Macaca mulatta: one gene and its partners. The protein of the gene in region 3 binds, or shares a complex with, the protein of the main gene of each other region. Links are inferred from orthologs where the notes say so. Each region holds a gene or a part of one and is shown on either strand. Other genes may lie near its edges.

Region 1 (5,087 bases), on a different chromosome or scaffold from region 3:
GGCGACAGAGCAAGACTCCATTTCAAAAAAAAAAAAAAATATATATATATATATATAGACACACACACACACCACTTAAAAGTGTGCAATTCAGTGGATTTCAATATATTCACAAAGTTGCACAACAATCACCACTATCTACTTCCATAATGTTTTCATCACTCCAAAAAGCAACCGCTTACCTCTTAAGTGTCACTCTCAATTCTCCTCTCCCTTCAACCTCTGGCAACTACTTTTTGTGTCGATAAACTTGCCTGTTTCTGGACACTTCGTATAAATAGAATCATACAGCACGTGGCTTTTTGTATCCGCCTTTTTTTTTTTTTTTGAGACGAAGTCTCCCCCTGTCGTCAAGGCTGGAGTGCAGTGGCGCGATCTCCACTCGCTGCAACCTCCACCTCCTGGGTTCAAGCAATTCCCCTGCCTCAGCCTCCCAAGTAGCTGGGATCACCGGCCTGGGCAACAGACTGAGATTCTGTCTCCAAAAAAAAAAAAAAAAAAAAAAAACAAAGAAAAAGAAGAAAAAGAAAAAATCTGCTTCATAAGTCTTGTTTTCTGTGAGAAAACTGCATCAACTCCCACCATCTACTTTCTATCATGATAGAAAACAGACTGAAAGCAGAGCAGGACCAAAGGCAGGGAGATGTGGAACAATCCAAGAACGTGGCAACGAACATTCAAGTAAAAATCCATGGTTGATGAGAAGAGGACAGGACCAACTATTTCTGAGAATCTATCCTAAGGAAATACGGAGCAATGTACATCATACGTGGGCTGCACTCAGAGATCTACAACGTAATGTTAGTTCTCCTCTTCCTATGGATTTTATAATAAAAAATAACCCACCGCAAACTATCATGCATCCGCTGAATGAACATGAAGCATTGGAAACTGAAAAACATGTGGGGAGAGCTCTGAATGCTGTATGTCAAGCTACCTATTTTTAATATCTAAAGAACCTTTGACAATCAATTAGGAAATAACAAAAGATGCCAGAGAACAAGAAAAGAAATTCGCAAATAGCCAATAAATGTGAAAAAAATGTTCAAACATACTAGTAATCAATAAATGAAAAAAACACAAGACATCATTTTTCATCGATCCAGTTTAGTTTTGGCGCAGATGGAAATAGGGGCACTTTTTTTCTAATTTGCACTCATTAGTTTCATTTCCTCACATTCCATTAAACTATTCTAGTCTGGTTCCCACCTTCCACTTCCAGAACTATGGACAGGAAGACCAATGACCAAAACCAATGACCTCCGTGTTGCCAAATCCAATTGACAACTTTAATGAACATCTCAGAAGCCCTGATAAAAGGACCAATTCAACATCTTCCAGAAATATCTCTTTTGGCTGCCATGATACCAGCTTTTTCTCCTACCTCACTTGCTGTTTCCTGTGTCCTTTCCTCAACCTTCTTCCTCTGCCAGACCTACAGGTATTTGAGTGTCTGAGCCCCTTTCACTTCTTCACGCTTCCCCTCAGTGATCTCACACAGCACCATACCTTTGAATGTCATCTATGTACTGATCACTCCAATTTTTTTTTTTTTTTTTTTTTTAAGAGACGGTGTCCTGCCTTGTAGCCAAGGCTGGTCTAGAACTTCTGGGCTCAAGCGACCTGCCTCGGCCTCCCAAAGTGCTGGGATTACATGTGTGAGCACTGCGCCCAGCCACTCCGATTTTTATCTCTAGCTCTAGCCTCTCTCTTCCTTGAGTTCCAGCCCTCTACATCCAACTGCCTCAACACACCGACTTCATAACTAATAAGCATCTAAAATTTAATACATCCAAAATAGATTTCGATATTTTTCCCACCTCAAATTTCTCTCTTCCATTCTTCATCTCAGTAAACGGCACCACCATTCACTCAGGTGCTCAAAACAAAAATCAAAAAAGCAAAGACTCCCACCATTCCCTCACCAATTCATTTCCAAGTCTTGTTCATTCTACCTTCAAAACACTTAAAAATCTGTTTACACTTCCCCATCTCCCTGCCATGGGCCTAGTCTAAGCTACTGCAAAGAGCACAGTAACTGACCTCGTAGGTTCCTCCCCAGCCCTCTTCCTCTACATAGCAGTCGGATTATGCTACTCGCCTTCTCAAAACCTTCAAAGGTTTCCCGGAAAAACTAAACTCCTAATCAGAGCATCATCTGCCCTATCTTTTAAAGAGTATACACAAACAGGAATATACATCCAAGGGTAATATCTCTAGACCGTAAAACTGCGGGCATTTTTCTCTTGCTTTGCTTGTATTTTTAAATTTTTCTACGCTGAATACTCTCTACTCATTAAGGGGAAATGATATTGCTGAATACTATATGATATTATGGCGCATTTTGTACATGTGAGCGAGAAATGGAAAACGTGGGTCAACTCTGTAACTGCTGAAGGCTTAGATGAAAATACTAGCAAACATCAAACTAAAAAAATGATGTGTCAGGCCTATAAGATCGCTGATGGCATTTCTCTTTCTCTGCTTTCCATTTCTTAACATAATCACATTCATGATGGGGAGAACCTCATTGTCTTCTGCAGTCTGGCCACAGCCCTCCAAGCCAGCCTTTCCTGCAGGAGTCCTCACTTTCCGAGGCTTCCACTCCGCCCCGCACTGCCCGCAGCTCCGGCGCGTTGGCCCCGGCCCCCTCCCTGGAACCCCAAAGCCTCTCTAACCCCTCCCCTCCATCCCGGGAGGGCCGGTGGGGATGGCGACAGGTTGGAGGGGCATTCCAGGATCCTTTCGGTAAACCCACGACTTTCTGGTCCTGGGGCCAAATCTTGCCTCCAAGGCCAAGAGCTTAACATCCCGAAACCTCCGGCCGCTGAGGCTCGGGGACCCGCATCCCCTCAGCGGAGCGCCCCGCTGAAGAGGAAGCCCCCAACTCACGTTCCGATTCCAGGCTCCCGCTTCTGCGGCTCCTCGGCCCGCACCTGGGATCCTCCCTGCCCTCCCCTCCGGCCCGGGGCCTCACCGGGTCCCGCCGCGGCGCAGCCGGCCGATGGGGGAGGGGCGCGCACGTGCCCGCGCCGCCCCCGCCCAAACAATGCCCCAGACAGCAGGGCGCGCGCCCGCGCGGTCCCTTCCTGCGCCCGCCAACACTCACCCTTTCTCCGGGTCTCCAGCTGCAGCGCGGCCCCGCCGGGCGCCGCGAGAGGGTAGAGCGAGGTGAGGGAGCGGGCGAAGCCCCGCGGAGCTGCCCAGCCACGAAACCCCAGCGACCCCCGCAGCCCGCGGAAGCACCCAGATCGGTGGAACCCGCCCGACCCGTTCCGCCCCGCACGTCAGCAGCCGGGCGCGTCGGGGCGCGCGCGGCGGCGGTGGTGGCGGCGGCGCGCGCGCGCGGCCTCGGGGCGGAGCTCGCAGGGATGAGGGCGGGGCGGGGCGGGGCTGGTCCAGGCTGCGACCCCGGCCCGCGAGGCCACTTCCTGGGCAGTGTGGGCGTCGATTCTCGCAAAGGCGTGGTTGTCCATCACTTTTCTGCCCCAGAAGGTGGCGAATTTCAACCCCAAGTTTGACAGAATATTCATTCTGCCGGTATGTATGAGCTTCCCTATTAATTACAATAGTAACAATGATTTTTGTGTGTGCCATCTTTGTCCCAACCCATGTGCTAAGTGCTGCGTATACAAATAACAGTAGTTATTGCTAGCCCATTTTACAGATGAAGAGATTGAGGCAGGGAAGGCTTGAGACTTATCCCAGTCACACTAGTGACAATCCAAGTCCAGTTTTCCATCTAAATATCTCTTGAGGCCAACATTCTCTTTCGTTCTAACTCTACCACCCTCTACCCAAGACCCTGTCATCTCTCTGCCCAGGACTATAAATAGCCTCCCAACTGGTCTTCGGGGATCTTCTGTTCCCCTTCAATCCCTCCTCACTGTATAAAGATTTACTACTGGAGCTGATTTTTTAATACTTTACCTACATGTTATCAAATTTTTATGTATTTAATGTTTTTATCTACACATAATACATGTAAATGGTGTTTTGTTTTTTGTGGTTTTTTTCTTTTTTTTTTTTTTGAGAGAGTCTCCCTCTGTTGCCCAGGCTGGAGTGCAGTGGCATGATCTCGGCTCACTGCAGTCTCTGCCTCCCTGATTCAAGTGATTCTCCTGCATCAGCCTCCCAAGTAGCTGGGATTATAGGCATGCACCACCACGCCCAGCTCATTTTTGTATTTTTAGTAGAGAGAGGGTTTCACCATGTTGGCCAGGCTGCTCTCAAACTCCTGACCTCAGGTGATCCACCCTCCTCAGCCTCCCAAAGTGCTGGGATTACAGGCATGAGCCACCACCCCCAGACTAATTTTTTTTTTTTAAAGACAGGTCTGACTATCACCACAGCTAGTCTCACACTTCCAGGCTCGAGAGATCCTCCTGGATGGGCGTGGTGGCTCACGCCTGTAATCCCAGCACTTTGGGAGGCTGAGGCGGGCAGATCACCTAAGGTCAGCAGTTCAAGACCAACCTGGCCAACATGGTGAAACGCCATCTCTACTAAAAATACAAAAATTAGCCAGGCATGGTTGCACATGCCTGTAATCCTAACTACTTGGGAAGCTGAGGCAGGAGAATCACAACTCGGGAGGTGGAGGTTGCAGTGAACCATTGCACTCCAGCATGGGCAACAAAAGTGAAACTCCATCTCAAAAACAAATAAACAGGGCCCGGCGCGGTGGCTCAAGCCTGTGATCCCAGCACTTTGGGAGGCCGAGACGGGCGGATCGCGAGGTCAGGAGATCAAGACTATCCTGGCTAACATGGTGAAACCCCGTCTCTACTAAAAAATACAAAAATTAGCCGGGTGAGGTGGCGGGCGCCTGTAGTCCCAGCTATTCGGGAGGCTGAGGCAGGAGAATGGCGTAAACCCGGGGGGCGGAGCTTGCAGTGAGCTGAGATCTGGCCACTGCACTCCAGCCTGGGCGACAGAGCAAGACTCCGTCTCAAAACAAACAAACAAACAAACAAACAAAAACAATTAAGAAAGGCTTCCTTGAACCTTAAGCTAAGACTCAAGAGATAATAGGAACTGGGGAGATAAACATAAATTTCATGGAGAAGGGGGTGAGGTCAGAGATC
Region 2 (4,315 bases), on a different chromosome or scaffold from region 3:
TTTTCTATAAGTTATTTTCTCTAGAAAATGTGATACTTTGCTTTGGTTGAGGATTTGCCTGCTTTATCCCCAAGCTGTATTCTTAAGTTTTCTGTGATCAACTGTAGATCTCTTTGAAGACTATGAAAGTACAATAATAGGTTACTTCCATACATAATACAGGTTGTTGTCTAACAAAATCTTTATAGGAATTAAAATAATGTAAATGAATGCATTCACTTTAACGTAAAATCTTAACATATTATAATCTTTGCCAGTGCAGCCTACATGAAATTTCATGTATCTTTACGCTTGTCTAATATGGACTTCTAAATGCTTCTGTTCTCATCTTCATTTCTGTCACAAAGTATTCAATATATTATCTTTTTATTGGTAACCTTACATCTTTTTGATCTTTGTACAGTGATTCATCTTTTTTATTATAATTATGACTAATAAAATCTGTATTTGAACTCATGTAACACCTTTATTTTGTAGAAAAGATGACTCATTTTGAATAAATTATGTTAAGTTGATTCCACTATGAAGTGTATTCTTATACTATGCTATAAACACATGTCCCTAGAAAAGTTTGTGATGGTTCACTTTTATTTACTCAAAAGACTGCAGATGGGCGCTCTCATTGTAAACTTTTCACTCATTTTGATGATAATCTTATATTCAGGTTGTTGGTAGTTTTCTGGGTATGATTTTATTCTATTAGATCACCAACTGATAGAAATTTCCATATAATGAGCACTGATATCTTAGCATTTAGCAAAAGATCTGGACATTTCATCCAGTCTGGCAACTTATGTCACTATAGTGGAGAAGTCTTTGTTTTTCAGCTTCAGACTTCTGTAGCTAAATAATAGTTTTTCATTTGAAATAAACATGTTGCCATTTATCCCTACACTTTATATGTATGAATAATCTTGACTTTTAAATTAGTTTAAAAATTGGTTAAAAGTTAAAAAACTAAAAATGTGATTTGGAGGACATCAGAATAATGATATATTTCTGATATGTATTTGTGTACATAAAGAGAAAGATGCATGTTAAAACTTTCACAAAACAGTTGTACTTCCTCTGTTTAAGGCTCTGAGCTAGAAGTAGTAGGATTCTGAATAGGGCAGGCCTATATTGGACTCCATCCAAAGGTTTGTAGATATTGAAGTATCAAAAGAGCCTTCATCTTTTCATCTTTCATGAATGGTTTTTACCTCTAAAATGGTCGCATTACACAGACCCAAGAATAGAATTTGAATGACATGTCATGTTGTTTTTGTTTTTTATGAAAATCTGTAGCTTTTTTGGCCTCTTAAAATGGAACTGCGTAGAGCATTTCAGTGTATTATTAAAAACTTGATAACTTAGAGCAAAATAGACCCGTTACTCTAGAAATCTTATTTTTGTGACAATTCATATGTACAGCTTAATTGTGTAATTTTTGTGATGTTGCTGGTTTGCCCCTTTGAAGCTTAACCTCAGAGATGATGTGGTGAAAATTACAATCGATTGGAACAAGCTCCAGAGCCTCTCGGCATTCCAGCCTGCATTGCTCTTTAGTGCACTTGAACAACACATTTTATATTTACAGGTAAATTTCTTGCTAAAATGATAACCCGATATTGAAAATAGACATTAATTGTGGTTAAATTAGTTGGAGTATTTGACAGTTCTAAACACTATATTAATAGTGTTGCTAACAAAAGGTTATTTACATCCAGATTTAATCTAAATCTGTTAATTTCAGTAGTGATCAGGACAGTTAAGGGAATATAGCCCAAAAGACCAATGTGGGTATGAGAGTGAATGAATGCAATTCTATTCAATTCTAGACCTGCACTGAAAATTCAATACAGTTCCATCTATGGTGGGTTATAATTAAGCAATAAGACACGGCAGGTGTGTGTCATGCTATGATAATGATTCCATGCCTTGGGTGAGTTTGGAGGCTCATGGAGTGCTTTCAGTGGTTCAAGAAGGGGCATTATCCCAGCATGACACATCCTGGAGTGTCTATTGCAATTAAACAGTTTCAGCATAGTTTTTAAAAAGAAAGTAATTTCTGTGACATTAATGTCTCATCTTTGTAAGTAGCCAGTCACTATTTTATCATTTCTTTTCCTTAACAGTTTGAAATAATTCATTCTTTATATTAGAAGTTAATATTGAATCTGTATTTATAATAATGTTGTTATATTTTTAAATATTTCATGTTAATAACTGAACAGTATTATGACCTTGCTGGTTTCTAATTGAACATCTTTGCAATTATAATTGATGTAAGTTTGCAGTTTATCTCTAATCAAAGTGTAAAATGTGAAGTGTCAAAAAGACAAGTGGAAAAACTGTTTGGATTGGTCAGTTTACTGTGATTAAGGTGTTACAAGGTTTCAAAAGAGTAGTATAGCAAACAATGGAAGCAAAATTGTGGGTATGAAAAAAATAATTGGAACATTATCAGTGTTAGTGTGTTTTGACTAATGGAATAGGCATTAATTTTCAGCCCTCCATTCATTGACTTTGTGGGAAATTTTAACTGTTCCATGTTAAAAGTAATAGTTAACCCTGTTTTAAAGGGCAGAGCAGTGAGCTGTAGAACTCAAATGAGGCCTAATTGTGGGGAGCGGGGGAGGGGAACAGTAAATGGGTAATATAGTTTATAGTCTACAACAGGGGTTTTCCCCTGTAGTATAGTGATAGGCCTCTGCCTGTTTTCAGCTATAGATCTTTTTTTTTTTTCTTGTTCATTTTCTTTTTTAAAATTTAATTTTATGACCCAAGAAGAGATCTTGCCATGTCAGGAAATGTCTGAGTGTTCACTCAACCTAACACCTATATATTTCATGTCTATCTTCCTCATTCACATTGGCCAACTGCAGTTTCAAGTGGAGAATCTCCAGTGATATAGTGATAATGCAGGGCTTTGCTGAGTGAGAGCACTGGCTCTCATGTTAAGGAGGAAAAATACTAAGCCTTAGTGTTCTGAGGAGGCATTTGAATGACATGTTAATTAAGTGGCATTGGTGCCAGAGGCTGAAGGCTTTGATTTGGCACAAAATAAAAGATGAGTGACAGAATGATTCTCTCAAAGAAAATTTTAAATTTCCTTAGGTTTTCTTTTCTTTTTTCTTTTCTTTTTTCCTCTCTCCTTTTTTAAAACTAATTTATAGCAAATGATAATGGTTACAATAGCAGAGAATAGTAAATACTTACATGTGGTCAGATCTATGTGTCTTGGTATACCAACTTTTTATATTTATTAACTGATATTAAGTATTTCATTTACTTTGCAGAAATTTATGTAAATATATTAAATGTGTAATTAATTTTGGTCAGTTTGAACCTCAGCAGATGGAATTGTGTTGTTCTCAGCCTTTTTTAGCAAAACTTCAGTCTCCAATTAAAGAGGAGAATACAACTGCTGTTGAAGAGATAGGAAAAACAGAAATGGGGAACAAAAATGAAGCAAATGACAAATTTTCCATTGGTGACCTACAAGAGGAAGAAAAACACAAAGAAAGTGATTTAGGAGATGTGAAAAAGACACAGATCCATTTTGATCCAGAAGTAGTTCAGATAAAGGCTGGAAAAGCAGAAGTAAGTTTTTCTGGCGGGGGTGAGAGGGTATTATTTTTAAAAATCTTATGTTTACACTGTTAAAACTTGTTGTTTGTAGATTGACAGACGAATATCTGCATTTATTGAAAGAAAGCAAGCTGAAATCAATGAAAACAACGTCAGGGAATTTTGCAATGTTATTGATTGTAATCAAGGTAACTACCTAGAAATTAATTTTCATAGGGTTTTAAGCACAATTTTTATAGTTGCTCTAATCTTTTATTTATTTTTTAAATGAATAGCTTTAAGAACACAATTCAAGTTATTTCACAGGTTTAGTTAGTAACTAAGATAGTAGAGTTTCCTTCTGCTTAATAATAGACTATATTGCAAACTGGTTTTCATTTTGGTTACACAAAGTAAATGCTAACATTAAAAGTGTTTATCACTGGCGAAGATTATTTTAAAGTTCCTTTAGGAAATGAATGTGAGGTATGAGTGACAAGGTTGATCTATCCCACTAGTAAAAGGAACTGAGCTCTATGAGTTTCAAACCTATACATGTACTGTGAAATCATGATGTTAATACATAAGTGAACTTAAAGTTAATATTCCTCCAGAGGGAGCAGTTTTCTCACTACTCCTGAGCTGTTTGAAATGTCCTATGTCACAATACAACCAATTTATCATGAAGACTATGGTGTCTTGCTTTTTTCCTTTCTGCCATAGTGCATACGTTTGTTGTTTTTCATCAGATTCTCCTTTACCT
Region 3 (4,843 bases):
TAGTAGAGACACGGTTTCACCAAATTGGCCAGGCTGGTCTCAAACTCCTGACCTCGTGATCCCCCTGCCTTGGCCTCCCAAAGTGGTAGGATTACAGGGGTGAGTCACCGCGCCTGGCCTTGGGCTGATATTTAACAATCAGGAGAAAGAGCCCATAAGACCTTTACAAATGCAAAATTCACAAAATCCCTCAAAGCATAACCTTCATAAAAAGTAGTAAGTCAAACTGCAGCTGGGTGGGTGGGCATGTCATTCACTGACCTGGAGCCCACAGAAAGAAATGCAAGTGTGATGGAAAAAAATGACGCATTAATTTTTGGATTAAAATAGTTTCAGTGCTAACGCCTGAGATTCTCTAATAAACAGAAAAATACTGACGAGGCTGAGCATGGTGGTTCATGCCTGTAATCCCACAACTTTGGGAGGCTGAGGCAGGAGGATCGCTTGAGCCCAGGAACTCAAGACCAGCCTAGGCAACATAGCAAGACCCCCATCTCTACCAAAAAAATTTAAAAATCAGCAGAATGTGCTGGTGTGCGCTTGTAGTCCTAGCTACTCAGAAGCCCTGATAGCACCACTGCACTCCAACCTGGACAACAGAGCGAGACCCTGTCTTAAAGAGAAAAAAAAGAAAAAGAAACGTGATGGCTAGGCACTGTGCTAGGTACTAGGAATACACAGGTGAACACAAGATGATCCTAATCTCATAGGACTTGCAAGTTTATCAAATAATCTACAAATAATTACAGACATTTGTAGGGTTATGTAAGAAATTATAAGATACCAAGATGGATTTCGATAAATACCACTGAGGCTATGCGTCCATTGCACGTCCATATCCTTAATACTTTCCTGAGAAGACCCCCTAAAAGTGCTATTTCTGGGTCTAAAGGTCTGCTTGTTTTTTTGTTTTTTGGTTTTTTTTTTGAGATGTAGAGTTTCCCTCTTGATACCCAGGCTGGAGTGCAATGGCGCAATCTCCGGTCACTACAACCTCCGCCTCCTGGATTCAAGCGATTCTCCAGCCTCAGCCTCCCAAGTAGCTGGGATTGCAGGCACCCACCACCACGCCCGGCTAATTTCTGTATTTTTTAGTAGAGACAGGGTTTCACCATGTGGGTCAGGCTGGTCTCGAAGTCCTTAACTCAGGTGATCCGCCCGCCTCAGCCTCCCAAAGTGTTGGGATTACAGGCGTGAGCCACCGCGCCCGGCCTGTTTTTAATTAATTTTTTAACAATAGACTTTATTGACTTTAGTTTTTAGGGCATTTTTAGGTTCACAACAAAATTGCGCAGAAAGTACGGTTTTTGTATTACCTGCACCCACTCCTCTCCAGCAAGCAGCAATCTCTTCGTTTTCAAGTTGGGTTTTTTTTTTTTTTTTTTTGCATTTTGTTTTAAATAGTCTGGGGGAATGGGAGAACGCTGAAAACGCACAAGCACTTTGGCTGGTTAAATTAGGGTTCCGACAAGAGCCGGAGCGGTGTGCCAAGTAAAAACTACATTTCCCACCCGGCAGCGGGTCACGTCACAGAGGAACGACTGCGCATGCGTTCAAGGTCCTCCGCGCGCGACTGCGCTCATAAAAGGAAAAAAAAAAAACGTGTGCGGCTCTCGACGTGCCGCCAATCTTCGAACGCAGGTCCGTGATCATCCGCAGACTCCGAAAAAGCGTTCAAGGAACGCGCCAGCTTCCCTCGTCGCAGTTTCCAGCCCGAAGACCTTGTTTTCTGCGAGACTCGGTAGGTGGGGACGGGCCGTGGCCTGAGACCTCCGGCGAAGCGCGGGAGCGAAGGGCTAAACCCTCCCTCAGCGCCCAGGCTCCCGTCCTCCTTCAGGCGGCGCTCTAGGGACGGTGCGTACGTGCTCTGAGCGGGAGGGGGGCGGGAGGGGCGGGGCTGGGGGGCGGGAGGGGCGGGACTCGACGGTGGGGCGGGCCCTGCGCCCAGCCGTTCGAGGTCTGCGCGTGCGCGCTTCCATCCCGGGCTAGGGTGGGAGACAGCAGCACGCCGGGCTTGGCAGGGAGGCAGCCCCCAGGTCGGGTGCATGGCCCGGGTCACGAAGATGCGGACAGAAGATGGGCCCCGAACTCCAGCATTTATTTTATTATTTGCACAAAAATTATCTTTTTTTTTTTTTTGAAGATACACTAACAGCTCGTAATTTGCCCAGGCTGGTCTCGAACTCGTTGGCTCAACCTCTCGCCTCGGCCTTCCAAAGTGTGGGGAGTATAGGCATAAGCCCCCGTGCCTGGCCAAAAAATGCCCATCTTAGGAACAACAAAGCAGCCCCCTTCACCCTCGCTGTCCTCCAGTTACCTCCTCCTCGCCTCCGGTTTGCAGCCAGAGGCCTCAGTCTACCCTCATTAGTGCCTTTTCTCCTTCAAGTCTTGAACCTTGAGCCTCTAGTCAGGCTTTGGTCTCCACCACTCCACTAAACCGGCTTCTTGTCAAAGCCACCAGTGATCTCTAGATGGCCAAATTCATTGTTAAGTTAGGTCTCAGTCCTGTAGCAGCATCTGGTGCTGTTGATCGCTGCACTTTCTTGAAACACTGTTTTCATTTGGCTTGCTGAACGTTCTCTTCCTTTGCCTCTCCTCACTCTGGCTTCTCCTCTGCTGATTTTAACCTAGGCATCTCACTTTTTTTTTTTTTCTTAGAGACAGGTTCTCTGTTGCTCAGACTGGAGAACAGTGATGCTATCACAGCTCACTGCAGCCTCTTGCAGCCTTGAACTCCTGGGCTTAAGCAGTCTTCCTAACCAAAGCCTCCCCAAATGCTGGAATTACAGGCATGAACCACCACAATCCCAGTTTCACATTTTAAATGTAAATGCCAGCCAGGCGTGGTGGCTCACACCTGTAATCCTAGCACTTTGGGAGGCTGAGGCAGGCAGATTGCCTGGGCTCTGGGGTTTGAGACCAGCCTGGGCAACGTGGTGAAATCCAGTCTCTTCTTAAAAAAAAAAAAAAATTAGCCGGGCTTGGTGGTGCGCACCTGTAATCCCAGCTACTTGGGAGGCTGAGGTACAATAATTGCTTAAACCCAGGAGGTGGAGGCTGCAGTGAGCCAAGATCGTGCCACTGCACTCTAGCCTGGGTGACAGAGCAAGACCCTGTTTCAAAAAAGTCCTAAAGGTGGAAGAAAATCCACATATAAGTGGACCTGCACAATTAAAACCTGTATTGTTCAAGGGTCAACTGTATAGCTATATTGAAAGAGATTTATTGTGATGGATTGGGTCACACAATTACAGAGGCTGAGAAGTCCCAAGATTTGCCTTCTGCAAGCTGGAAGCCCAGGAAAGCAAACCCTCTGGAAACTCACAAACACACTCAAAAGTATTTCACCAGCTATCTGGGCATCCCCTAGCCCAATCAGGTTGACGCATGAAGTTAACCATCACATTTCCCTAGCTTTGTTTTTCAGTTGCCTCAGTCATCATTTTACTGGTGATACTTTGAGTGTTGTCATAATAGCCTAATGGTGGTTTGGCAGCTTCCACTTCCATGATCTCTTTTACTCTTGAATATGCTGAAGTCCTGACAAAACTTGGAATTGAGAGGAAGAGCATAGATTTTAGAACCTGCAGCCTTGCAGCCCCAGCTCAACTACCTATTTTTCCTGAGTTACCTAGCATAACCTATCTGAACTTCAATTTCCTTACTATACGTACCATTCTGTTATCTATTTTATAGGATTGCTGTAAGGTTTAAATGAGAAACACTGGCATAAGTTGCAATACAGAGGCATGAAGGAAAAAAATTGTCTTCTTAATGTCTCTTTAACCAATTGATGAATATAGATTGTATTTATTTATTTATTTATGGGATGGAGTCTTGCTCTGTCACCCAGGCCGGAGTGTAGTGGTGCAATGTTGGCTCACTGCAACCTCTGCTTCCTGGTTGTAGCTGGGATTACAAGCATGCACCACCATGCCTGGCTAATTTTTTTTTTTTTTTGAGACAGAGTTTTGCTCTTTGTTGTCCAGGCTGGAGTGCAGTGGCGCAATCTCGGCTCACCACAACCTCTGCCTTCCGGTTTCAAGCAATTCTCCTGCCTCAGCCTTCTGAGTAGCTGTGATTACAGGCATGTGCCACCACACCTGATTAATTTTGTATTTTTAGTAGAGACAGGGTTTCACCATGTTGGCCAGGCTGGTCTTGAGCTCCTGACCTTAGTTGATCCGCCGGCCTTGGCCTCCCAAAGTGCTGGGATTACAGGTGTGAGCCACTGCGCCCAACCTATTTATGTTTTTTTTAGAAACAAGGTCTTACTGTGTCACCCAGGCTGGAGTACAGTGGTGCCATTGTAGCTCCCTATTCCCAAACTCCTAGGCTCAAGGGATCCTCCTGCCATAGCCTCCTCAGTAGCTAGGACTACACATGTGCACCACCATGCCCAGCTAATTATTTTATTTTGTTCTTGTAGAGACAGGGCCTCCGTGTGTTGCCCAGGCTGGTCCTGAACTCCTGACCTCAAGTGATCCTCTCATTTCGGCCTCCCAAAATGCTGGGATTATGGTTGTGAGCCACTGCACCCAGTTTGCAGATTATCATTGCTAGTGACTGGATTGAGAGTGTGGGATCTGAGTGTGGGGTATTAGGTTCCTCTTTCCCTTTGACCCAGAACAAAGCTCTTACTGTTTTCAGCCCTGTGGAATTAATCTTAGAGTGGCTTAAGTGTAGGATGTTTGGATTTGTTTATTTGGGGCCTTAGATGCTATTACAGTAAAAGGGCCAGCAATTTTAGGCTAGGTATTAGTGGTTAACACGCGCTTCAATCCTGCAGCCTTTGTCCCTCAGAATTGGCTGTCTCTTCAGACTGTGCTTAATGAAAGTTCTT
Region 4 (4,315 bases), on a different chromosome or scaffold from region 3:
AGAACATAGAAGGGGGCCTCAAGGTTCTGGTGGTGGAGGCGCTGGTGGGGCAGGGGTACCCACTGAGGATCTGCTTCTCCCTGCAGGTTCTGGGCTTCAGTGGAGCCCTACTGTGCTGACATCACCAGCGAGGAGGTCCGCACACTTGAGGAGCTACTGAAGCCCCCAGAAGATGAGGCTGAGCATTACAAGGTAGAAACTCTGGGCCTTGATAGACATGATGCAGAACAAGAGAGTTCAGAGGTGGCTGAGAATTAAAGCTACCAAAGCCATGCATCATCTTCCTTCCCCCATCCTGCCCAGCCTCCTATCTGCTCCATCAATGTATCCAGACACCCAGGTCCAAACTCAGCTTTCTTTTTTTTTTTTTTTTTTTTTTTGAGACGGAGTCTCGCTCTGTCGCCCAGGCTGGAGTGCAGTGGCCGGATCTCAGCTCACTGCAAGCTCCGCCTCCCGGGTTCATGCCATTCTCCGGCCTCAGCCTCCCGAGTAGCTGGGACTACAGGCGCCCGCCACCTCGCCCGGCTAGTTTTTTATATTTCTTAATAGAGACGGGGTTTCACCGTGTTAGCCAGGATGGTTTCGATCTCCTGACCTCGTGATCCGCCCGTCTCGGCCTCCCAAAGTGCTGGGATTACAGGCTTGAGCCACCGCGCCCGGCCCAAACTCAGCTTTCTTTGTGCGCTGCCTCCCCTCTACCTGAGCCAGATGTCACCATGCCCTCAAGCTTAAGTGAAGTGTGCCCATGTTCCTTTATCTCTGTCCCTTTGCTTTGGTCCAAGCCTTCATCAGCTTCTATACAAACAGCCCCTTAACTCTGTTCCTGCTTTGAGGCCTCTGGAGGAACCCTTCTTCTTTCTTTAAGATGTAAAGCTTGGGCCAGGTGCAGTGGCTCATGCCTGCAATCCTAGCACTTTGGGAGGCCAGGGCAGGCAGATGGCCTGAGCTCAGAAATTCGAGACCAGCCTGGGCAACATGGTGAAACCCTATCTCTACTAAAATACAAAAAATTAGCCAGGCATGGCGGTGTGCACCTGTAGTCCCAGCTACTTGGGAGGCTGAGTCAGGAGACTTTCTTGGACCTGGGAGGCAGAAGTTGCAGTGAACTGAGATCACGCCACTGCACTCCAGCCTAGGCAACAGAGCAAGACTCTGTCTTTAAAAAAAAAAAAAAAAAAAAAAAGTCAGCTCACACCTGTAATCCCAATACTTTGGGAGGCTGTGGCAGGCAGATCACCTGAGGTCAAGAGTTCAAGACCAGCCTGACCAACATGGTGAAACGCTGTGTCTACTAAAAATACAAAAATTAGCCAGGCATGGTGGCGTGCACCTAGAATCCCAGCTACTCAGGAGACTGAACCAGGAAAACCGCCTGAATCGGGGAGTCATAGGTTGCAATGAACCAAGATCGTGCCACTATTCCAGCCTGGGTGACAGAACGAGATTCCATCTCACAAAAAAAAAAAAAAAAAAGAAGAAGATACGAAACTATGTTTTAATGATGAAAATAAATAAAACATGCTCCATTAAAGAATATTTAGAAAATACAGAAAAATGTTGAGGGAGAATACTCCCATAGGTCAGCTGTCATCAGATGTGCTCATGACATGGCACTGCATCTAGGCCTCTCTTCATCCCGTTATCTACAGGATCAAGTCCATGCATCCCAGTCCTTGGTGGCACAGCTCCAGTGCCTCTCTCCATTTTCCTCGGCCATACCCCTCTTCATTGCTGTGTTGACCAGTCCCACCAAGTACCTTGCCCTCATTCCAGGACACCACAGCCTCCTTGCTGGTCTCTGGGCGCCTCTGGCAAGCTCTTCTCTCCCTCTTCTCTCCCTGATAGACTTGACTCACCCTCCAAGGCCCTGATCTCATGTTACCTCCACCAAAGCACCCTTTCAGATTCCCCAGCAGAAAGTTAGTCTCTCCTTTGTGCTGCCACAACACTTTGATCTGTCTCTTTCACTTCACTTACCTGACTTTTTAAAAATTTATTTGAAAAAGAGTTCATACAGACAGCAGTTAATTCAAGCAATATAAAAGGTAATTCCCTGTCACCCGTGACCTGAAGGCTCCTAATTCTCTCGAGAGACAATTGATGTGACCTGAGACAATCCGTGTATGTAGAGTATTCTGCACCTTCTATCTTGGGAATTGTTTCAGATTGGCTTCTGTGTGTGTGTCTTAGTCCTTTTCGGACCTGTCTCCTTTACTAGAGTGTGAAGTAGAGGTATCTTCTTTATACTTTCTTACCTATACCTGACACTGGGCTTGGCCTTGGACTAGGGACTTGAGAGAGAGATAAGACAGATAAGTGAATGAATGAATGAATGAAGCATGGCTGGCCAGTGCTTACCCACTCAGGGTTGGGTGCCATCTTTTCCACAGATCCCACCCCTGGGGAAGCACTACTCCCAGCGTTGGGCCCAGGAGGACCTGCTGGAGGAGCAGAAGGATGGGGCCCGGGCAGCAGCCGTGGCTGACAAGAAGAAAGGCCTCATGGGGCCACTGACTGAACTGGACACTAAAGGTAGGCCTCTCACCTCCCTGCCAACCCCAGGTCAGGACTTGAGTTCCAGAACTTCAGCCCACCTGCCCTCCTTTCCTGTGCCCACTTAGATGTGGATGCCCTGCTGAAGAAGTCTGAGGCCCAGCATGAACAGCCGGAAGATGGATGCCCCTTTGGTGCCCTGACGCAGCGCCTCCTGCAGGCCCTGGTGGAGGTGAGCACCCTAATCCAAAACAGGAACCACATTTACTTTGTGTTTTAATGTGTTATATTTATTTTTTATTGGAATATATCATACATTTATTAGGTTGGTACAACAATAATTAGGTTGCTGCAAAAGTAAAAACCTGGACTAACACATAGCAAAAGATTGGGAATAATACATAACTTTTGCACCAACCTAATAGAAAAGTGCACAGATCATAAATGTACAGTTTTCACAAATGAGCTTGTATTAGCAGCCTGGAGATTACAAAATGAAGCATTACTATATCCTAGAAGCCCCTCTCATGCCCCTGTTTTTCTCCAACTTCCCCCAAAGATAGCCTCTACTCCACAATTAACTTTTGCTAAGCATCTGTTGGAGGGGCTTTATACACATCCTCCCACTGGAGGCCAGGACAGTGGTTAACCCTGTGTTACAGATGAGAAGATTAGAGGCTCAGAAAAGGGAACTGTTCACTTGAGGTCTCTCACAGCAGGATTCAAACCCCTACTTCGGGGTCCCTGTCTTTATACCTGCTGGTTGACCTTAGACACACCCTCATACTCTTTCACCTCATTGAGACTCAGTTTTCTTTTCTGGCTCAAACACAATAGTTTCTCTCATGTAACAGTCTGGGTACGTGTTCCAGGTTATCTAAGGTAGGGGAAGGGGCATATCATCAAACAGGAATCCCAGCTGATGGTGGCCTTGCAGTCTGCACAGGGTCACTCTGGGCATAATTGTCACTCCAGTCCCACAGAATAAGAGCAAGGAGGAGTGTGTGAAGGAAACTCTTTGGGCCATGCCTAGCTGTGGCTCTTATTTCTTCTGATCGCTTTCCCCTGGAGAGAATCTGTCACATGACCATACCTGCCTGCAAGGGAGCCTGAGAAATGTAGTGCAGCTGGAGAGGCATTGCCTAGCTGCCATGGAGGAAAGGAGAGTGGCGTTCGGACAGCTAGCACCTCTGCCACAGCAGGCCTAGCACAGTGCCTGGTGCGTTGCAGGCACTTCACAAACCTTGGCTGTTCATTACCATCATTGAGTGTTAATCATTTCTCTTCTGTGTTCCTTTTGTTCCTTTTTCTTCATATCAGTACAAAAATGGATTTCTAGAATGATCAAAGCAATTTGGGATCAGTATGGGAAGGCTTCCCAGAGTAGGTGGGATGGGAAAGATAAAAGGATATTTCTGGTGTTTGAAGACTGTCAGTGTAGGTCAGAAAGGAGCAGGAAAGTGGAACAGCTCTTTTTCCTTCCACCCATTTCTGTGGTCTTCTAGGAAAATATTATTTCCCCTATGGAGGATTCTCCTATTCCTGACATGTCTGGGAAAGAATCAGGGGCTGACGGGGCAAGCACCTCCCCTCGCAATCAGAATAAGCCCTTCAGGTGAGTGGTGTCCTATCCACAACCCACAGTCTGGCGCCCACTTCTGTTGGCTTCTCTCCATCTCAACCTGGGGAGTTCCTCATCAATAAGAGGCTGGGGACAGTTAGGTGAAGCCCAATAGCAGTCTCAAGTGTGAGTGCTGGCCCAATGTGTCTGCATGCACAGACTGAGTGCAGGGTTGTTCAGCACAGAACTGTTCATACCATA

Evidence for each region.
Region 1: SGF29 (region 3) and YEATS2 share a complex: the UniProt entries of both Homo sapiens proteins name them as parts of the ADA2A-containing complex. The link is inferred for Macaca mulatta from reciprocal best matches to the Homo sapiens genes SGF29 and YEATS2.
Region 2: SGF29 (region 3) and MBIP share a complex: the UniProt entries of both Homo sapiens proteins name them as parts of the ADA2A-containing complex. The link is inferred for Macaca mulatta from reciprocal best matches to the Homo sapiens genes SGF29 and MBIP.
Region 4: SGF29 (region 3) and TADA3 share a complex: the UniProt entries of both Homo sapiens proteins name them as parts of the ADA2A-containing complex. The link is inferred for Macaca mulatta from reciprocal best matches to the Homo sapiens genes SGF29 and TADA3.

The regions. Positions count from the first base shown.
Region 1 is NC_133407.1:95,834,833-95,839,919, reverse strand, and holds the start of YEATS2 (YEATS domain-containing protein 2), read right to left. Parts: upstream 3,320-5,087; 5' UTR 3,110-3,319; intron 3,026-3,109; exon of another isoform or gene 2,893-3,025; intron 476-2,892; 5' UTR 183-475; intron 1-182. UniProt on the Homo sapiens protein: Chromatin reader component of the ATAC complex, a complex with histone acetyltransferase activity on histones H3 and H4. YEATS2 specifically recognizes and binds histone H3 crotonylated at 'Lys-27' (H3K27cr).
Region 2 is NC_133412.1:109,435,182-109,439,496, reverse strand, and holds part of MBIP (MAP3K12-binding inhibitory protein 1), read left to right. Parts: intron 1-1,459; coding exon 1,460-1,579; intron 1,580-3,360; coding exon 3,361-3,585; intron 3,586-3,664; coding exon 3,665-3,761; intron 3,762-4,315. UniProt on the Homo sapiens protein: Inhibits the MAP3K12 activity to induce the activation of the JNK/SAPK pathway. Component of the ATAC complex, a complex with histone acetyltransferase activity on histones H3 and H4.
Region 3 is NC_133425.1:28,277,296-28,282,138, forward strand, and holds the start of SGF29 (SAGA-associated factor 29), read left to right. Parts: upstream 1-1,604; 5' UTR 1,605-1,741; exon of another isoform or gene 1,742-1,854; intron 1,855-4,843. UniProt on the Homo sapiens protein: Chromatin reader component of some histone acetyltransferase (HAT) SAGA-type complexes like the TFTC-HAT, ATAC or STAGA complexes.
Region 4 is NC_133407.1:148,571,927-148,576,241, reverse strand, and holds part of TADA3 (transcriptional adapter 3), read left to right. Parts: intron 1-86; coding exon 87-192; intron 193-2,390; coding exon 2,391-2,532; intron 2,533-2,621; coding exon 2,622-2,725; intron 2,726-2,761; exon of another isoform or gene 2,762-3,804; coding exon of another isoform or gene 3,805-3,828; intron 3,829-3,998; coding exon 3,999-4,108; intron 4,109-4,315. UniProt on the Homo sapiens protein: Functions as a component of the PCAF complex. The PCAF complex is capable of efficiently acetylating histones in a nucleosomal context. The PCAF complex could be considered as the human version of the yeast SAGA complex.